Diceros bicornis minor: one gene and its partner. The protein of the gene in region 1 interacts with the protein of each later gene in a pairwise test. Links are inferred from orthologs where the notes say so. Each region holds a gene or a part of one and is shown in the gene's direction. Other genes may lie near its edges. The genes, in order: CALCOCO1 and DUSP13B.

What was found.
Region 2: the proteins of CALCOCO1 (region 1) and DUSP13B interact in binary tests that used the Homo sapiens proteins (3 or more experiments, as listed by UniProt). The two-hybrid records come from large-scale screens. The link is inferred for Diceros bicornis minor from reciprocal best matches to the Homo sapiens genes CALCOCO1 and DUSP13B.

The regions. Positions count from the first base shown.
Region 1 is NC_080756.1:16,603,018-16,613,242, forward strand, and holds the start of CALCOCO1 (calcium-binding and coiled-coil domain-containing protein 1), read left to right. Parts: upstream 1-5,715; 5' UTR 5,716-5,786; intron 5,787-7,960; 5' UTR 7,961-7,984; coding exon 7,985-8,140; intron 8,141-8,459; coding exon 8,460-8,562; intron 8,563-9,346; coding exon 9,347-9,537; intron 9,538-10,225. UniProt on the Homo sapiens protein: Functions as a coactivator for aryl hydrocarbon and nuclear receptors (NR). Recruited to promoters through its contact with the N-terminal basic helix-loop-helix-Per-Arnt-Sim (PAS) domain of transcription factors or coactivators, such as NCOA2.
Region 2 is NC_080745.1:31,688,835-31,698,194, forward strand, and holds the start of DUSP13B (dual specificity protein phosphatase 13), read left to right. Parts: upstream 1-5,716; 5' UTR 5,717-6,142; coding exon 6,143-6,229; intron 6,230-7,396; exon of another isoform or gene 7,397-7,502; intron 7,503-8,623; coding exon 8,624-8,827; intron 8,828-9,360. Other genes in the region: SAMD8 (sphingomyelin synthase-related protein 1), read right to left, coding at 1,641-1,814; DUSP13A (dual specificity protein phosphatase 13), read left to right, coding at 3,471-3,679, 4,475-4,793. UniProt on the Homo sapiens protein: Dual specificity phosphatase that dephosphorylates MAPK8/JNK and MAPK14/p38, but not MAPK1/ERK2, in vitro. Exhibits intrinsic phosphatase activity towards both phospho-seryl/threonyl and -tyrosyl residues, with similar specific activities in vitro.

The DNA.
Region 1 (10,225 bases):
TACCTAAATTGTGACCACAACACAGCTCTGTTTATTTTGTGATAGGGTAAAAATTTCTAAACTTTTCAATAGAATATAAAAATAAAGAAAAACTATAGGAATAACACTCTCTTGAGGGGAAAAGACCACTTCCATCACCAATCAGCCTGGGCCCGATGCCCCACTAACATTTTGGTTGGCTGGGCTCCAATGTGTTCTTCAGCCAGGAGATCTTTGGCTATGAGTGGTTCACAAAGTTGGTGCTCTGTGAATTCTGGTGGAACGAGTGAGAGACAAATAGAGATATGAACAGTGGACAGATTAGAATCATTCTCTCCAGAGGCATTTTTTGTCCCAGAACAACTCTGGAATGTTGACTCAACCCCACATTGATAGAGAGTGGCATGGGCACATGGCTAAACTCCATCCCCAGCCCCCTTGCAGTGAGGTGAGGCCATATAACTGGTTATCACCAATGGAATACAAGTGGAAGCGATGTGTAACTTCCACGCTGAGAAAGTTAAGAGTGGTACATTCTCCACTTGCTTTCTCTTCCCCCTGAAGCCACATATTTAAGATGGCAGATCCCCAGCATGAACAGATCTGGATTCCTGAGTTATCTGATCACAAACATACACACTGGACTATATGACATATAAATCTTTATCATGTTAAGACACTGAGATCTGGGGGGTGTCTGTTGTAGCTGTTATATCTACCCTAACTAATGCAGAATCAAGGTAATGAGGCCAAAATCGCAAGAAATGAGGCTCGGCGCACTGTAGAATTTAGACTGTGATGGATAGAGGGCAAAGGGGAGCACTTAAGAGTCAGAAATTCTTGATTTGAATCTCATACTAGCTGTGTGACTTTGATCAAGTTACTTAATATTTCTAAGCATTGGTTTCTTCATTGATAAAAATTACATAGTAATAATACAATCCACTTCATAGTATTGGTTCTGAGGATCAAATGAATCCAAGAATGTAGATGGCCTTTGAAACCAGAAAGCTACAAATGTCATTGGCTATTATTCTAACAGTTGACACATGTTTATTAAAAATCTGTTGAATGATTAAATACGAATGAATGTGAATAAATGGATGGACGAGTTCTCAGAGCCGCATCTTACTCCCCACTAATAAAGGAAAGACTAAGGTCATCTGAACACTTTGAGATCAGAGAGGGTCTGTGGGTCTATGGAGTGAACCAGGAGCTGCAGGACGTAAGTGTTACTAAGAACCCCAAACCACCCTTCCACCCAGCCCAAGGAAAATGGAGCCAAAGAACTAAGGGGATCAAAAGAAAATGGGTCAGGAGCCCTAAAGAAAAGTCCAAAAGAATCAGACTTTGCTCTAAAATCATGTTAATGTTTTCCCTACTGTAATGGACTGACTGTGTGTGTCCACCCAAAATTCATATGTTGAAGCCCTGAACTGCAACGTGATGCTATCTGGAGATGGGGCCTCTGGGAAGTAATCAGGGTTAGATGAGGTCATGAGGGTGGGGCCCTCATGATGGAATTAGTGCCCTTATAAGTAGAGACCAGAGTGGTTGCTTTTTCTCACTCTCCTCCATGTGAGGACACAGTGAGAAGTCAGCTGTCTACAAGGCAGGAAAAGAGTCTTCATCAGGAACTGATTCAGCTAGCACCTTGATCTTGGACTTTCCAGCCTCAAGAACTGTGAGAAATAAATTACTGTTGTTTGTGCCACCCAGCCTATGGCATTTTGTTATGGCAGCCCGAGCAGACTCTGACACCTACTTCCCACAGAGCCCACAGTTTGGAAACACTAGTAACAGCCTACAATATCTGACACACCAGCTGCTTCTGCATGTTTGAAAGCACCCAGCAGAGTGCCTGGTACACGGCATGCACTCAGTAAACACTAGCCATTATGATTTTCTGCAAAAGCATCTTGTTATATTGGAAAAGACATGGGTTTCAGAATAAGTTTGGTCTGAGAGACCTTGGGCAAGTTACCCTGAGAGTTTCAGTTTCTTCGTCTGAAACATTTGAGAGCACCTTGCGTGGTGGTGTGATGGTTTGATGGGTGAAAGAGCCTCTCATATAGGGGACACTCAGCTAGTGGTAGCTCCTCAAAGCATTCCACGAGTCCAGGACCAGCTTCCCTTCACCATGTATTATATATCAGGCACTGGGCTAGAGAAGCAATACCAGAGTTAGGCCTTTCACAAAGGAGAAAAGAGACTTTAAACTTCAGGAAGATAGGATTCATTTTGTAGCAGCTCCTTCCACGCCTCTAGAGAGCCTTTCAAAGATCATTTCAATCTTCCCCAGCCCCAGTCAGGAGTTCTCTGTAATCTGAAAACACCAACAGTCCCAAGATCTCACAACCTCACTCAGAAGTATTCTGTAATCCCAATAACTGTCACTTCCACGGGTATTCACAGTATTAGTCCCCCTGTTAAAAAAAATTGTCAGTGGCTAACTCCCTATTCTTGATGCGAATGAAGTCCAAACATTATAACCTGATGTATTAGTGGTTAGAAAAACACTAGCTACTATACGGCCCAAAACTTTAGTGGTGTAGCAAAACAGAAATTGATTTATTAGTTAAGTGAAGTCCAAAACGCATGTTCCTGATTAGCGGGCCATTCTCTGCCAAGTGGTGATTCAGAGAACTCGGTTCCTTCTAACCTCTGTCCCCACATCTTTAACATTTGTACTTTCAAGGTCACTATGCTTAAGATCATACACATCAAGCCAAAAAGGAAAGGACATGAAGGATCTCCCTTGGGAGGTTTCATGGGCCAGGCCTGGAAGTGGAACATGTCACTTAAAGGGAAACTGAAAAATGCAGTCCAGCTGTGTGTCCAAGAAAAAGAAGGAAAGAGATTCTGATAAACACATGGCAGGCTCTGCCTTGCTTGGCATTCAAGATTCTCCACACTCTAGCTGAAACTTACCTTTCAAACCTGATACCACTTACCTTTCAACCTTGACACCATTAACCAGGTATGGCTATGAGTCAGCTTTGCTGCAACATCAACCCCAAATCTCAGTGGCTTACAGCAACACGGTTTATTTCTGACTTTCGTGTACGTAGGCTGTGGGCAGGCTGCAGCTCTGCTCCACGGCTCTTCTCATTCCAGGACACAGGCAGAAGGAGCAACTCTCATGTGAAATAGGCCCATTCTAATGGAGAGAACAAGAAAAGGAAACTCACATGCTCAGACATGGCATGAGTCACATCTGTTCACATCTCATTGGTCAAAATATGAAACATGATCAAGTTCAAAGTCAATGAAATGAGACATATACTCCTTCTACAGAAGATACTGCAAGACACGTGGCAACGGGCAGGGAAGGAGAAAGTAAACACTTTCAAACAATAAATCAATCTACTACAACTGCCATCTTCCATCTGGAGTACATGACAGACATTACTAATTAATCCCAGCACTCTTGCCTCAGAATCCTTCTCAACACAACATTGGGCAGTCATTACCAATAATCTGAATTTGAAAGAAAAAAAAGTTGAAATTGATGCACTGTTCTTTTTTTTTTTCCTTTCTCCTCAAAGCCCCAGTAGATAGTCGCAAGTCATAGTTACATATCCTTCTAGTTGCTGTACGTGGGACACGGCCTCAGCATGGCCGGAGAGGCAGTGCGTCAGTGCGCGCCCGGGATCCAAACCTGCGCCACCAGTAGCAGAGCGTGCACACCCAACCGCTAGGCCACCGGGCCGGCCCCATGATGCCCTGTTCTTATGTGACCTCCTAGCCTCCAGTAAACCTGTGAACCTTTGCTTCAGCCTGAAATGAGCTTATCCTTCCTAGACGTTGTCCTGCCAAACTATCCAAATCTAATCCATCCTTCAAATATCTATATTTTATATTCATTCTTTCAGCAAACTGTATTGAATACCTAGCATAGTGCCTGACACATGTATTTGTTCAATGAATCTGTTTCACATCAACTTGTGCCTTGCACATAAATGCAAGGGAACATTCGTCCCCTTATTAATTAATAGCACTGTTCCTTAGAACAATCAGTGTTAGTATCACATACCAGGAGTTTCTGGGGTGGGAGTATGGTGTATTGACTAGTTGTGCTTGAATCCTGATTCTACCACTTACTAGTTGGATGACCCTAGTTAAGTCACTTAATTGTCTGCACCTCAATCTTCATCATATGTAAAATGGGGATAATAATAGGGCCTACTATATAAGGTTGTTGTGTCAAATGGAAAAATTCTTAGCATAGTTTAAACACATTATAAGCACCCAGTAAATGGAAGTTGTTATTATTTTTAGCTCCAGCTGAGACTGAGTTTTCTTCCAAGCTTTTATTCTGGGTGGAAGACAAAAACCAAGAACACTTGAGACTTGCCTCCCTGAACGAGCCTCACTCTTAACCCACTCTAGACCTTGAGCCGTCTCCTCCCCCAGCAGCCTGTTTTCTAACTCATAAATCCTGACTAATGACACAGACATGTCACCTTAATGTTTGTGAAGCCCAGTGACTTATTGTTAAGTGCTTGGAGATCTTCAGATGAAAGGGACCCAAGGGCAGGCACAAGACACCCTATTCAGTCATAAAAGCAAAATACTACCAAAAAACATGGGAAAGGCAGAGGCTCCATAACTTAGTGCAGCAGGGAATTAAAGCAGGTACCAGGAAGAGCAAATCAATCCTTAGACTGTAATTCCTTAATACAAGGACAGGGAGAGAGATGGTTTCAAAAGCCTCAGACGATCTGGAAGGTCCCAGGGAAGGAGGGGTGGGGCATGATGCCCCAGTGTTTAACGGTGACTTGGGGTATGGGAAGAGTATGAATCTTTCACACACACACACACACACACACACACACACACCCGATAAAAACAAGAGCAACAACATGTATTGTTATCCTGATTAGCTTAAGCCAGTTAAAAGGCTTGGGCAAACCAGCCCCTGTAAGTGGCTTGTTGGTGAGCTGTGACCGGCCCTGAACTATGCCAGGCTCCCCTTTCAGCTTCGTTCTTACTTCACCTCCCCCTACACACACACTTCAGACAATGGATCCTCTTCCTCGACCTAGAGACCACACTACGGCAGCCCAGTCCAGGTCCCTGGCACTGAAACTCTCAAGTTGGAAAAAAAATAGCCAGCAGTACACAACACACAGTTTTTACAGGGGCTGTCCCTGAGGTTGACGCAAAGAAGAAACTGCTAGCGCAGCCATCAGTTCCCCGTCCCCTCAATGGTAGCGGCAAAGTTCTACCATCTTACAGATGGAGTTCCACCATCTTACAGCTTTGCTACTTGAGACTGCTGCCTTAACCGTTCTGAGCTTTAGTTTCTTCATCCGTAAAATGCGTATTACCAACCTCACACGTTGTTGCGAAAAGTAAACGGGAGCGTGAAGCCGAACACGCTCCGCCCCCTGCAAAGCGCTACACGCACAGGAGGCGTTAGAGCCGTAACTCCTCCCCACCCCCCAACCACGCACGTTACAAACCAGTAGTCACCACTAATACAGCCGGCCCTCTCCTAAGGAATCATGGGCCGTGAAGTCCTTTGGTGGACATACCCTCGTTTACCATCACGGAAGTGAGAACTACGCCTCCCAGGATGCCGTGGTGAGGCCGCCTCCACGGCCGCCCTCTGCTCCGCCCTCCTTGCGCACAGCCTCCTGGGTTGCGTAGTCCCAGATCCGAGCAGGCTCGCCGGCAAAAGGACGCAGAGGAACCACAAACCCCAGAAGCCCTCGCGCCCACTCTTCTCCCTCCCCACCCCGAGTCGGAGTGCTGTTTTTGTTGTTGGTGAAAGGTGAGGGAACAGCTGATCCGTCTGAGGGGTAAGAAACTTGGCCTAATTTGGGGGTGATCTTATGGGGGGTCACCCCGCTTTCCAGTCTGTGAAAGGATAATCTAAGGGAGCTGTAGAAGGGGGATAGAGGAGCGTTTGGGTTTTAACACTTTCCGTACTGGAGAAGCCACCACTACTGTTTTGGGGAGTTCTTGGCCTCAGGGGGGCCCTGATCAGGGGGTTGCCCCCTCGCTGTTCTCACGTACCTCTCAGTCCTTCTCTGTAAAGCTTGATACGCTCAGGGGAGTTGGGGGGAGGTGAAATCTTTGTTCATTTTCTCCCAGGCACGGGTTGGCCACCACAAACCTTCCCTTTCCCCTTACCTCCCGTACCCCATCCGAAGGCCTTTACTACGCTGAATCCCTGGAGAAAAAACATTCCAAGCTGTAGAATGTCAAGGAACTTTAGAGTCCTACAGAGTGGGGGGATGGGACCCCTTTCCTCTGAACACCTGAATCTCACCACACACATACACTTTAGGTGCCCAGAGCTTTCTTTCAGGCCTGGGGAATGTTTCCAGCTGTTATGGATTTTATTTGTGGGGCATATTTGGGGTTCCCCCGGCTTAGATCTTTGGGGACAAGTCATTCCTTTAGAAAGCCAGAAGAATCGTATTTGGAGAAAACATGCACTAGTTTTAACTAGGGATTTTTCAGAGAAATGAAAAGCCAAAGAAATCTCTTGTCCTCAAGTCAGTCTCTATTTTGGAGGGAGATGTTACTCCTTTTTGCAGAGCTTGCCCACCTTTCCTTCTGTACTGAGTTTCTGTCTTCTTTTAAAGTTCCTGCCCCCCTGACTTCAGCGTGGTGTGGGTTTGTGATGTTTGGGGGCATGCACATGACTAGTGGCCATGGCTGATTGGACACTGTCAGGTGCTGCTGACACAGGGTGAAGGTTAGGGGGCTGGAGAGGAGAGATGAGAGGGCCATCTCACAACTCTGGGCTGAGGAGTTCTCTTGATTGTTATTGTTATCTTTCCTCACCCACCCCCAGATTTTCCAATTAACTCTCCCCACCCAGTTTGGGACACCTCTCCCTCTCAATCCCATCCTATAGCATGCCTCCCACTACCAATCCAAGCAGATGGAAGGATTCAGGCACTTGGAATTGAGGCCAAGAGAAGGAGAGAGAAAATGGGGAGGGAAATACTAGGGCTGGGTTAACATACAGTCAAACCAGTAGGTTTCTAGTCTTGCTCCAGGCAAGACCTGAAGAGAAGAATGTTAGGTTTTTTTTGAACTCTCTCCTCCTTCTCTCAACACTATATATACATTTTTCCCTTCTCAGAGCCTCTTACTTCCCACCTTCCAGTCTGTCCCCTGGCCAGGGGCAGGGCTTTCCTGGCTCCAGGCCCCCACATTCCATCGCCCCACAGCACCACGTTCCTGCGGAGTGTTGCACTCCACCCTTGAAGCAGCCGCCTCCAGAATTCTTGACTTCCTGGAGTAATGAAGTTGAGGGACAGGACCTGTCTTTCTTTATATCCTCCCTTTCCCTTTGTGTCTTGGATAAGAACAGAAGCCTTTTTTTATTCATGGGGGTAGACAGCTCAGAAAGAGGGAGAGGACAGACAGCTCAGGGGCCTGAAGATTGGGCTCTTGTCCCCCCAGCCATATTCCTGCTCTGAAGACTCAATCATTGCTTTCAGAGGTTGTTGCTGTTTTCAGGTGTCATAAGTCATTCCTGGGTACAGCTGGAGTGGGCGAGGAGATCTGCTCAGAATGAAGGGGCCCCACACCTCAGTTGGATTTTGAATTCAAGAGCCAAAAGATGTGGGGGATGGGACAGGGAGATGGAGGCTATTAAGAAGGACATTAAGAGGTGGAAAAGGAGGGACTGAGCGGGGCAGAGCCTGAGACACTGAGACTTGGTCAATGGGGCTATGAAAAGGGAGCAGAAATTAGAGAGATCTTAACTCTAGGAAGAGTCTGTGACTCAGAGAGGGTGCAGTGAGACAGGGTGGGAACTGACTCAGAAGACCAGACCTCTGTCCTGGAGACTAAGGATGATACCTCTAAAGATTCCTGTAACCCTCAGGGGCTGGAAAGCAGATATGCCTTCATCTCCAGGTGTAGTGGCAGGGCTGTGGGTGGGTGAGGATGGAGTTAGGGAAGAAAGAGATGGAGTGGAGAGACTTTAGGATATTAACCCTTTGTTTCATAGGAGGGCAGATATCTCAAGGGCAGGATGGAAGAATCGTCACTAAGCCGGGCACCGTCCCGGGGTGGAGTCAACTTTCTGAACGTAGCCCGGACCTACATCCCCAACACCAAGGTGGAATGTCACTACACCCTTCCCCCAGGCACCATGCCCAGTGCCAGCGACTGGATTGGCATCTTCAAGGTATCCCTGGAACCCCTATTGGCTCAGGTTCATGGGCCATGGGTTGGTCAGAATAAGGGGAATGACTAGGTTCTTGGATTCTCAGCCTCATGTTGATAGAGAAGTAGGGAGAAAGATGTCACAGATGACAGAGGCCATCTTCTCCTCGTCTTAGCCTTGCTCTCTCCTGACACATTAGTGTTCCTCCACTTTCTCTGTCTCTCATCATCCTTGCCACCATAACACCATCCTATCCTGCCATTAACTCCCTCAGCCCTTTCTGCCATCTGCAGCTGGTAGTTCCACTGCCATACCGCTCTCCCACTTTGGGCTCTCACAGGTGGAGGCTGCCTGTGTTCGGGATTACCACACATTTGTGTGGTCTTCTGTGCCTGAAAGTGCAGCTGATGGTTCCCCCGTCCATGCCAGTGTCCAGTTCCAAGGTACGAGGGAAGATGGAAAACCAAAGGGAGGAGCCAGGGGGATGGAGATTTGGAAGAAGATAGTGGGCTCAGAAGCGTAAAAGTTAGGCATAGAGGACAAAGAAAAATAAGTGCAAATAAATAAAATAAGAAATACATTCAACAGGGCTCAGCAGACATAGAATCATGGGATTATCACAGAATCAGGGATTTAGAGATGGAAAGAACTGTAGAGGGCAGCTAATCTCACCTCCTACCAAAGGAAGGACGGGCTAGCGGGTAGGGAAGAGGGAAAGGTGGCGTCATATATTGAGAAGAAAGTGGTCGTTAGATTCTGAAAGACCTGGGTTCAGATCTCAGCTGTAATACTTACAAGCTGTTTGACCTTGTGCAAATTACTTAACTTCTCTGTGTCTGTTATCTTAACTGTAAAAGGGGATGCCTGGCTTACAGGGACAATATGATGATTAAAATGATACAGGTAAAGCTGTTAGCACAGTCGCTGGTGCGTGGTGGGCGCTCAGTAAATGGTAGCTAGCATTATTATTATTATTATTATTATAGAGGAAGGTAGGTTTGAGAAGGAGAAGTAGGGGAGGACTAGGCAGAAAGGAGGGAGAAGAGTATTCCAGGAAACAGAAATAGCCTGTGGGAGGTGGAGAGGAGAGAAAATAGTATATGGAACAAGGAGCAAGGGGCTGGAGTCAGGACAATGGATACTAAGACATGCCAAGGGGAAGGGGGACCTGCTGAGCACTTGAGGGCCTGGGATCATATTGGGGTCCTGGGTCTGTTCTTCCCACAGCCAGCTACCTGCCCAAACCAGGGGCGCAGCTCTACCAGTTCCGATACGTGAACCGCCAGGGCCGGGTCTGTGGGCAGAGCCCCGCTTTCCAGTTCCGAGAGCCAAGGCCCATGGATGAACTGGTGACCCTGGAGGAGACTGACGGTGGCTCTGACATCCTGCTGGTGGTTCCCAAGGCAACTGTGCTGCAGGTGAGAACAGAGCAAGAGAACTGCTCCCGGGCAATGGAGTGGGAGGACAGCACTGCAACTTCCCACTTCACCCTCCTCTCGGCTGTAGCCTCAGCTGAAAACCTCTCTGGGAGTTACACAAACTCTTGTCTTTGAGAAGTCTCAATCTAGTGCAGACAGGAAAGCAAGCCACCCACGGGCCAACGTCACTCAAGATTTCATAAGAACTTTTGGAGCCATCCTTCTCCAAGCACTGCATCCTGCCCTAGGCCCTAGAGGAAGATGCAAAGTGTGGAGGGAGGCCGCTCCAGGGAAGGAACATTCAGAGGAAGGGGAGGTGAGACCCACTTCAGGAGAAGTGAAGAGTGAGCAGATAGATAGGGCCCCAGATCTGCACCGTCCAAAACCAGAGGTGCTGCTCACGTGTGGATCTTGAGTGCTTGAAATGGGACTGGTCCAAATTGAGCTGTACCGTGTGAGTAAAACCCACAGCGGATTTTGAAGACTTAGTATTAAAAAAACGAAAGTAAAAATCTCAACAATTTTTATATGGATTATATGTTGAAATGATAATATTTTAGATAGACTGGGTTAGATAAAATATCATTAAAATTAATTTTACCTCTTTCTTATTACTTTTTTTTAATTGTCTACCAGAAGGTTTAAAATTATATATGTGACTTGTGTTATTTTTCTATTAGACCAAATA
Region 2 (9,360 bases), on another chromosome or scaffold:
AAGATTAAACAGCAGATACCTGTTTAGAGTAGAAATATTTGATTAAAAAGTTTGTCTTGAAATGGCCAACAACTTTGCAAAACCTATAATCAGATAAAAGTTGTAACGGTAAAACAACATACTAGATGTGGCTCAAGTCAAAGATTTCATGAAGCCATTATAATTTAACAATTACAAAAGGAAATTACCTTACTTGTAACAAAGTGAATATACATACTGTAATCACTATTTTTCTGGCACAATTGTGGTTTTGGTAGTATATCTTCTATAAAAAGCATCTGTGTACCCACCTGTCCCAGTTCTGTTAACTGCCAACTACAAGTATCCTCTATTCTTATTTTTCTAGATCACTCTACTAAAAATATTATGTATACAGTATCTACAAAATTGCACTAATATTGGTCCTGCAAATCTGTTAAAAGTACCCCTCCAATTTGCAAGCGAAGTAACTCCAATCTTGGAGTTATAGGTGAGAAGAAGATCTGGTAAGCTCCTGGACTGTGGTGATTTCACATCTAGTTTTATGTACCATTATAACCCAGACACCTGCCATTGACCACATTTTTACCCTGCGGTAAATACTTGGGTCAACTCAAGCTGTCAAAGTGGAACCATTCAATACTGAGTATCTGTAAAACCTAAGTGTCCAAATTCTTGTTTCGACTTTAATTTCTTAAATTTAAAGGTAATGTATTAAATCTTTTTCTTAAAGATCTAAATTTGTCTGGTATTTAAAATAAACAAATTTAAGAAATAAATATGAAGAAAAAAAAGAAACACTATTGCTGCTAAAAGAAATCCAAATGATATCTTTATTTTTAGAATCACTCCTTTCACTATCTTTTCCAAACAACACTTCCTTTTCACTACTTTTCCCAGTCCTTTAGCAAATCAGTGTTTAACACCGCCCCTCCCATCCCAGATTCTTAAAAGAATCCACTGTCCACAAACGAGAAAGCCCCATAATCCATTACCCTAGTGATCTTCGATGCTTTGAAAGACACACGTGAAAATGCCAAAGCCCTAAATTATATCCCTGAGGGCTCCTTGTCTTTCTTGACCACAATTCTCTTCTTCGGCCCTTTAGGCCAGCGACTTCCCACCGGACAGCCCGTCCTTCTCCCAGTCAAACCTAAATCCTTTGCCTAATTACCCCCACCCCCACTTTGGTCAGCGATCTCGTCAGTCTCAACCCGGTTCCCTCTCTCTCGCCATGTGGTAGCATCGACCCTGGTCCTGCTCCTCTGATCCCTCACCCCCACACCATCTCTTCCTCCGGCCCCACACTCATGCGGGACCCCTTCAATCTTCTTCCCTCACTATCCTGCTTTCAAAAACCTCCGAGCCCTTGCCTCTTCAAGGCCACATCTCCATCGGTCTCCCACTCCCCGTCACCCGTCAGCCTCCACTCACCCCTCAGCCTCTGGCCATCGTCACCCCCTTCAGGCCCTTGGCTCAACAACCTCCATTTCCCTCAGATTCCATTCTAAAGCTGCAGCTCCAAGCTCCCTCAACCGTCTCCCGGGGCCCCTCCGGATCCTCGGCCTCAGCAGTCCCCGCCTCCATCCCTGATTCCCCACTCACCCTCGGCTGCAGGCGCCCCCCAAACTCCCCTCTCCTCCGCCTCTGCTCCCGCTCACCTCCGCAGTCCGAGTCGGGCTCCCCGGACCCACCTCCGAGTCGGCGTCCGAGGCGCCGTCGGAGTCTAGGGCCCTCTGCGCCTCGCAGGAGTGAAGAGCCTCGAGCGGCGGGGGCGGAGCCCGGGGAGGAGAGCCTGAGTGGACGCGGGGGCGGTGGCGGCTGCGCGCAGGCATCGCTCCGGCCCGGGTCTCAGCCGCGCCGGCAGCTGCCGGAATCCGAACCGGAACTGCTTTGGGAGGCGGGGCCCTACCGGCGGGGGCGGGGCCCAAACCGGAAGGGACGCGGCGCTCAAGATGCGCTCTAGAGGAGAACGGAGAAGGGAAACCGCAGCAGGGAAAACCGAGAGCGCATGCGTCAGGCCCAAAGCCGACGCAGAAGGGGCTAGTGAAGGTGGGGCGGGGCCTTTGGGATTAGAAAATGGGGTTTGGGGGCTAAAGGAGGTTTTTCTAAGAACTTTGGAGGGAGTCAGCCCCTTTCCAAGAGTCAACCCCCAATGATCATTGTTACCATTTATTGCCCCTTTATTCTTTGACAGTCCCTATGTCAAATGCCATATAAAAATCTCACTTAATCCTTGGGCCTACTCTATGGGGTATTACAATACAGAAGGACCGAGAAATTTGCCTGAGGTATGGCAGTTAATATGTGCCAAAGCCAGTATTCCTACTCAAATCTGTCTAACCTCAGAATCTATGCTCTTCTCACTCTGCTATACCACCCCATCCTGAGGGAAGTCCCCAACCTAGGCCTAGCATCGGTATAAACCAAGTCCAAAGCCACCTGCTGCCTGGCTCTATCACCTCCTTGGCCTTGCTTCCTCATGCTGTGCAGGGTGGGGTGGACATGAATGCAGACTGCTTCCAAGGGATGTCCTGGTGTGGCCTTTACCCTCAAGCTGGACTCAGGGCCAGGGGCAGCCAGGAGCCTTCCCACCGCAGTTCGTACCCCTCCCAGCCGCATCAGGACCTTCATGCAGTGACCTGAGAGCGGGCGAGACATCTCACCTCTTCTGCCGATAACTAGCTCTGACAGAAGGACAGATGTAGACCTTTCTCAGTTTCTGTTGTGGGGACAAAAGCCCTTATAGGCAGAGGAAATCTCCCTCCCACCTCAAAAATGTTTCTGATGATGGTTAGGCCCTTTGACTTTTCCACCTCCCTTCTTCCCTTTTGACATACATGGCCCCTTTCAGCCTTCTCTTTTGAGAAATCAGCCATCTTCATTACAGAACCATTCTTCAAATCTTCCCCCATGAACCCTGTGGGCACCCTTTAGATGAGGTCAGGTCCTCTATGCCTCCTCTCCACTTTTCTGTGGCTGTACAACTCAGGAAACTTCCCCTGGGCCCCATAATCTGAAGGCTCATCCAACAGTCATACGGTTCCCACCTAGTTTGTGGCGCACCCAGACCTACAAAACTTTTTCTGTCATTCATCCTTGGAGCCTACAACCTCCTCTCCACCCTGGATCTCTACTTTAATTCAGTCCTCACAACCAAATAGCCTTATTCAGGGCTCTAAATCTGTTATTTAAACACCTTTTTTTTACAGCATCTACTATGTGTTAGACACAGAACATCATTTGTTTCATTTAATCCTCACAATTCTGTAAGGTAGGTGTAATTATCTTACTTGACAGGTGAAGAAACTGAGATTGAGAGAGAAAGTGACTTGCAGAGGTATGTCTGATTCTATGTTGTCACAGAGTCTGGGGATGGGAGAAACTTGGGGAGGAAAAGGTCCTGTTTTCTGTATAGGCCTCTGTGACTTGCTGAGTCAGAGTCACTTGCTGCTGTCCCACCTGTCCCTGCCAATCTCCGGGAAGGAGAAATGACACTGGAGAGGCAGAGAGGAGTGACTGCAGAGACAGAGGAGTGGGTGGGCTGGCCCATGGCTGAGGCCTCACTCCCAGAGCAGAGGGGAGATGCCGAAGCCACGCCTTGCCCCAGCGTCCTGGAACTGGAGGAGCTCCTGAGGGCGGGGAAAGTTTCTTGCAGCCACGTGGACGAAGTTTGGCCGAACCTTTACATAGGAGATGCGTGAGTGGTAGCTGGCCCAAGAGGTGTGGGGGTGGGGACAAGGAGAGGCCGTTCTTGGGCTCTTTACCAGAGATGGGAGTGGGATGGGAACAAGGAGAAATACTTCTGCTCTGAGCATCCCAGGCCAAGGACTTTCTCCAGGACCCCCATGTGCTGGGGACAGTGCAGTGACCAGGTGTAGCCACCAGGGGGAGCATGGACTTTGCCTGCCTGAAAGATGAGAGCTCCCAGTTCCTGGAGTCTTCTGGCACAACCAGGACAATTGGCGAGTCTAAGCGGGTAGAGGTCTGAGGAATGGTGATTTGGGGTATGAGATGGGGTGACAGAGCTCCCCTTCCCAGTCCCAGCTTTCCTCCTCTGGACACAAAGTGGGTGAGGAAGCCTGACTGAAGGTGAATCAGGGAAGGTGTCACTTCTAAACATTTGCATCATTAGGTATGAGGTAGTGGCCAGGAGAGGCCGGATGTGCGTGGGAGAGCACGGGGCAGGAAGGGAGGGGCAGCTGGGTCCCAGGGCTGAAGCAATCCTTTCCCTCCTGTCGTAGCCAAGGCAGGGGCAGATAGCCTCAGGTAGCAAAGACGGCCTAAAGATAACTCCTTGTACCACCACCTCTTCCACCAGAAAGCTCTGAGGGTGGGGCTGTGAGCTGTGGACCCCATCTCAAGCTTGCTGGGTTCCTTCCAACTCCCTTTGGACCCTAAAGGCTTCATCCCTCTGAAACAGGGGGCCAAGCAGAGCCACCTTCCTGGACCCCATGGCTCAGCCAGCATCCAGCCCCTTTCCTCCCCTCCCCAGGACCACAGCAAATAACCGCTTTGAGCTATGGAAGCTGGGCATCACCCACGTGCTGAACGCTGCCCATGGGGGCCTCTTCTGCCAGGGCGGTCCTGACTTCTACGGCAGCAGTGTGACCTACCTGGGGGTGCCAGCCCCTGACCTCCCTGATTTCGACATCAGTGCCTACTTCTGCTCTGCAGCTGACTTCATCCACCGTGCCCTCAGCACACCTGGGGGTAGGAGTTGGGGTGTGAACCCTCATCCCATCCTGCTCAGTCACTGGGGGGATGTCCAGTTTCCCCTCAAACATCAGTCCCCTCCTATCCCTAGTTTTTAAAAAGCCATCAAGTTTTTTAAAATCCTCTGCTCAGTGCTCTAGCAATTTATCCAACTGCATTGCTTCACAGATGGGGAAACTGAGGCCTAGAATACAAGGTCATGCCATGAATTAGGAGCAGCCCTGGGGCTAGAAGCCAGGTCTCCCAAACAGCAAGATAGTTCTTTCTCTCTGCATCCCTCAGCCTTGGGAAATCACCATTTGGTACCTAGATATCTGGTTTCTCCCCCAGGGTACTACCAAATGGAAAAAAATCTCCTAATACCCAGGGTACAACAAAGGAGCCTGGGAAAGCTGGAGCCCCTGCCCTTTGCATCCTGGATGAGAGCTGTGCCCTTGCTACCCCCCCATGGGCAAGCCAGTGTCCCTCTCTGGACTTCAGTTTCTCATCTGTATGATGGGAAAGACAAAACTATGGCTCATAGCACTTTTTAATATCCAAAGCACTTTGACATCATTTGTTCTTCATCCATTCATTCACCAGCTATGTATTATCTTCTGTGTGCCAGGCACAGAGCTAGACACTAGGAATCTACACTTAGACAAGGCAGAGTCCCTGCCCTCATGGAAAGACAGTCAAAATGGGAAGTATTATGAGTGCTACTCATATGAGTGGGCAGATGTGAAGAGCTATGGCAGCACAGGGCAGGAGTGCTCAGAGGATCAGGGAGGTGGGGAGACTTCCTTCTACAACAGTATTCACTGGGCCACATGCAAAAAGGATGAACCACTCTGTGATTCAAGCGATACCATGAATGGTTAAGAAAGCCTAGGTGAGGAAGCCATGTCTCAGCTGAAACCTTACCGATTAGTAGTAGAAGTTAGACTAAGAGCAGGGAAAAATTTTACAGGTAGTTGAAATAGCATGTGCTAAGGCTGGAGGCCAGAGATCATGACAGCTTCAAGGAACTGAAAGTTACACAGTGTTCCTAGAGCTGAGGGTTGGGTGGGATGGCCTGAGGTGAGTCTGCAGGTTCAGTAGGGGCCAGTGCACAGAGGGTCTTGTAAGCAATGTTAAGGAGTTGGACCCCATCCCAAGGGTAGGCAAAAGAGGTATTGGTCTACTCATTTGACAGATCAGGAAACTGAGGCCCATAAAGGCTGAATGACTTGCCCAGGGTCACAGATGCACCTAAGGCAGAGCAGGGAAAGGAAGTTGGGTGTCCACCCCAGCCCCTGGGTGGGGCAGCTCGTGGGAAAAGGTCTTTCACCAGGATGTCTTCCTCAGCCAAGGTCCTGGTGCACTGTGTGGTAGGTGTGAGCCGCTCCGCCACACTGGTCCTGGCCTACCTCATGCTTCGCCAGCAGCTGTCCCTGCGCCAGGCGGTGATCACTGTGAGGCAGCGCCGATGGATCTTCCCCAACCGAGGCTTCCTCCACCAGCTCTGCCAGCTGGACCAGAAGCTGCGTGGTGCAGGCCGGAGCTGAGGGGCCAGGTGAGGGCTGGGCAGGGCATGTGGGGGCGGGGGTGGGAGGGGGCTGAGTGCAGTTAGAAGTGAGATCAGGTGAGGGGTGGGCAGGGAGAATGGAAGGGGAGGCTGGTGAGGGCTGAAAGTGAAAGGTCAGATGAGGGGCTGGGCAGGGGCAAGGGTACAATTGGAAGAAAGGGCTCAGGTGAGGGCTGGCAGGGGACATGGGTGGGACCAGTTCAGAGGTTGGTTGTCGGGGCTGTGTGTGGCAGGAAGTGAGGGTTGAAGACAGCCTGGGCCACTCCTCAACCTGTTGGGCTCCCCTCACCAACCCAAGGTCTCAACAGGCCCCAGCCAAAGCAACCCTCTGGTAGGACCCTCTCTCTCACCCAGCCCACCCAGATTCCTGAGCCCCCAGAGAAGATGAAAAGGCTAGGAAGGAAAGGGGTAGAAAGCATGAAATGGAAGAGGTGAGGCCTTCCTCCCTGGTCCTGATACTGACTTGCCCTGCCTCCTTGGCAGATAGCCTGTGGGGCTCACCTGAACCCCACCAAGGCAGCAACACAGCCAGTCCTGGCACCTGAGGACTGCCTGGACCTTCCTGCACCTCTGCATCCCTTCCCCTCAGGTCTGGACCCCAGCCACAGCTCTGGGGAAGTAGAGTGTGGCTGTGCTATGAATCCAAGCTTAATTAATTCTCATGTCAGCCCTCCCTCCCCATTCCCATCATGGGGAAGGAGAACAGGTGCTCCTGCCCCCAGCCAGGACCTCCTCACACAAGCCTTGCTTGATACCAAGTTCTCCTATCATCATGCCTTTTCAGTTCTCTGCCTTGGACCCAGCACCCCACTCCCTCCCCCAATCTGAGCTCAGAGATCTACAGAAGGACCCTCCCTAACTGCCCTCTCTCTCTGGTTCTGGTGACCCCTTTAGGGCAAAAAGGTCTTCCTGAAGTCTATCCTCACTCCTTCCTGCTTCCGTTTACCCCCTGCCTTTTTGTTCTGTGTTCAGTGCATTTGGAGCAATAGCAGATGGTCCTTAAGATGCACAAGGGGAACAGGTCCCCAGTACCTCCTCTCCCCAAGTGTCCTCCCTCCTGCTGGAGGCTCCAGTGTCCCCAGCTGCCCAGTAGAAGGAGTTGGGCTCCCCCAGCAGCAACACTGCTTCTCAGGCTCCCAGCCCACAAATGCTCACCGAGGTGCTGCTTCCATTTCTTTGGCATCAATCCCGTGTTTTCCTCCAGCTCAGCTGGGAGGAGGCAGGGGTGTCTCTTCCTGGGGTGGAGTGGCTGTGAGGGCACCAGGATTGTGAGGGAGCTGCAGAGTGCCCACTGCCCTTCTTCTCCCACCATGCCCAGGCTGGGTCTGTCCCTGTCTGGCCCCAACAGCCCGCCTTCCTCACACTCACATCCCTCCGAGGGCCATCAGCTGGGGGTTAGGCCTCTGGGGCGGCTCTCTGCTCCCCCTACCCTGCTTGCAGCTCCTGCTACCCATACTGCTCCTTCCCTCATCTCTCTTCAACACTGACTTTGGCTATGCCCCAGCCATTGGCTCAGAGGGGCTGCCTGCTCTGGGTGGGTGACTGGCCTAGGCTCTCCTGGGAGTTGGAAAAGCAGCAGGTTTCTCCTCCTGCCGAGAGCTTCCGGGGCATGGCCGGAATCTCCTCCTGCCCCCCACCCATAGGAGCTGTTTTGTCTCTGAACGCATACCCGCCCAACCAAATGGAAGCACTTGAGCAATATCAACCCCTTCACACAAGCTGTCGGGAGGATGAGCATCTTGGCGATGGGGATTAGGGCAGGACAGAGGGTTTAGAGTTTCAGGGGTGAGTGTAATGGGAGAAAATTAGGGTTATAGCTGGGGTTGGGATTAAGTCTGGGCTGAGCTGGGTGGGAAACTGTTGTGGAGAGCTCTACAGGTATGAGGAGCCAAGAGAGGGGCAGGAATGGCATGTTCCCGTCCTACTCTCTTTCCTCTAAACAGGTTTCAGGAACCTGGCAGAGCAGTAGATCTCTGATCATGCCCAAATCACTCCACTTCCTTGGCCTGGGCCCTTAAATGTCCTGACCTCCAACCTCAGCATCTTTCTCATCAGGCAGCTGGCTTTGGAGGAGTCAGTTGGGCTACAGCATTGCACAATTCCCCAGGAGTTGTGCAGCGTGCAGACTGTGCAGCTGTACACAGCAGCCCTGGGGCTGGTGACTCTGAAAGATGAGGAGGACAGTCATTTCTCCCCATGAGCCCTGGGCCCCAAACCCGCCTCCTCATCTCTCCCAGCACCTGTACCCACTTGACCAGGCACGGAAGGCTCAAGGCAGAAGCAGATTTAGGTGGCTCCTAATCTTGCTCCTGCCCTGATGAGTCCCAGCCAATCTGGGCCTTGGTTTACCTGCCTGTAACATGGAGCTCATTTCTCCCCCAGAGCCGGTCCGCACACCCTGCCACAGGGCTCTGCCACTTTGCCACCCTGGCGCTGGCCCTGCTGGTGCTGCTGGAGGCTCTGGCCCAGGTGGATACCCAGAAGATGGTAAGAGCCCAGTATGGGGTCCGCCCTAGAGCCTGCTACTCCATCTGCTTCCTCCAGCTGCCTGCACTCCCTCTCAGTCACTGTCTTCAGTCCCCACAGGTGGGAATGGGCTGCCCTCTCAGCCAAGACCTGAGATGATTCAGCCTGGGACCCCAAGTTTCCTTGGGGCAGCGGGGGGAGCGTGGGAGGAAAGCGGGAGGGGATTCTTAGTGTTCATGATAGCCCTTGGCCACACCTGCTTCCACCATTTCTCCCCAGGGCTCTGGGAGCCCCAGCAGGGGCTGAGCCCTAGCTCCCTGGAGCTCAGACTTCAGAGACCCAGTGTAGGGGCAGCTGTGGGTATGCGTCTGTCTCTGTGTGTGTCAGTTCTCTGGGGGTGTGAGCGGGAAGAGTCCTGAAGTATGGGTATATGAGGAGGGTCTCTGGATAGCAGGGAGTGTTCTTAACAGGCCCAAATCTAAGGTCCCTAACTGACCACAGTTAGCCTTGGGAAGGACCTTAAAGACCATCTTGCTGAGTCTTTAAGGCCCAGTGGGGCCTGGGCCAGGAATGCCTTCTCGGGGAGAGAGGAGCTTGGCAGAGGGCAGAGTGGCTTCTGGATACACAGTTTCTGACTGCCGGCCAGAGCTGGT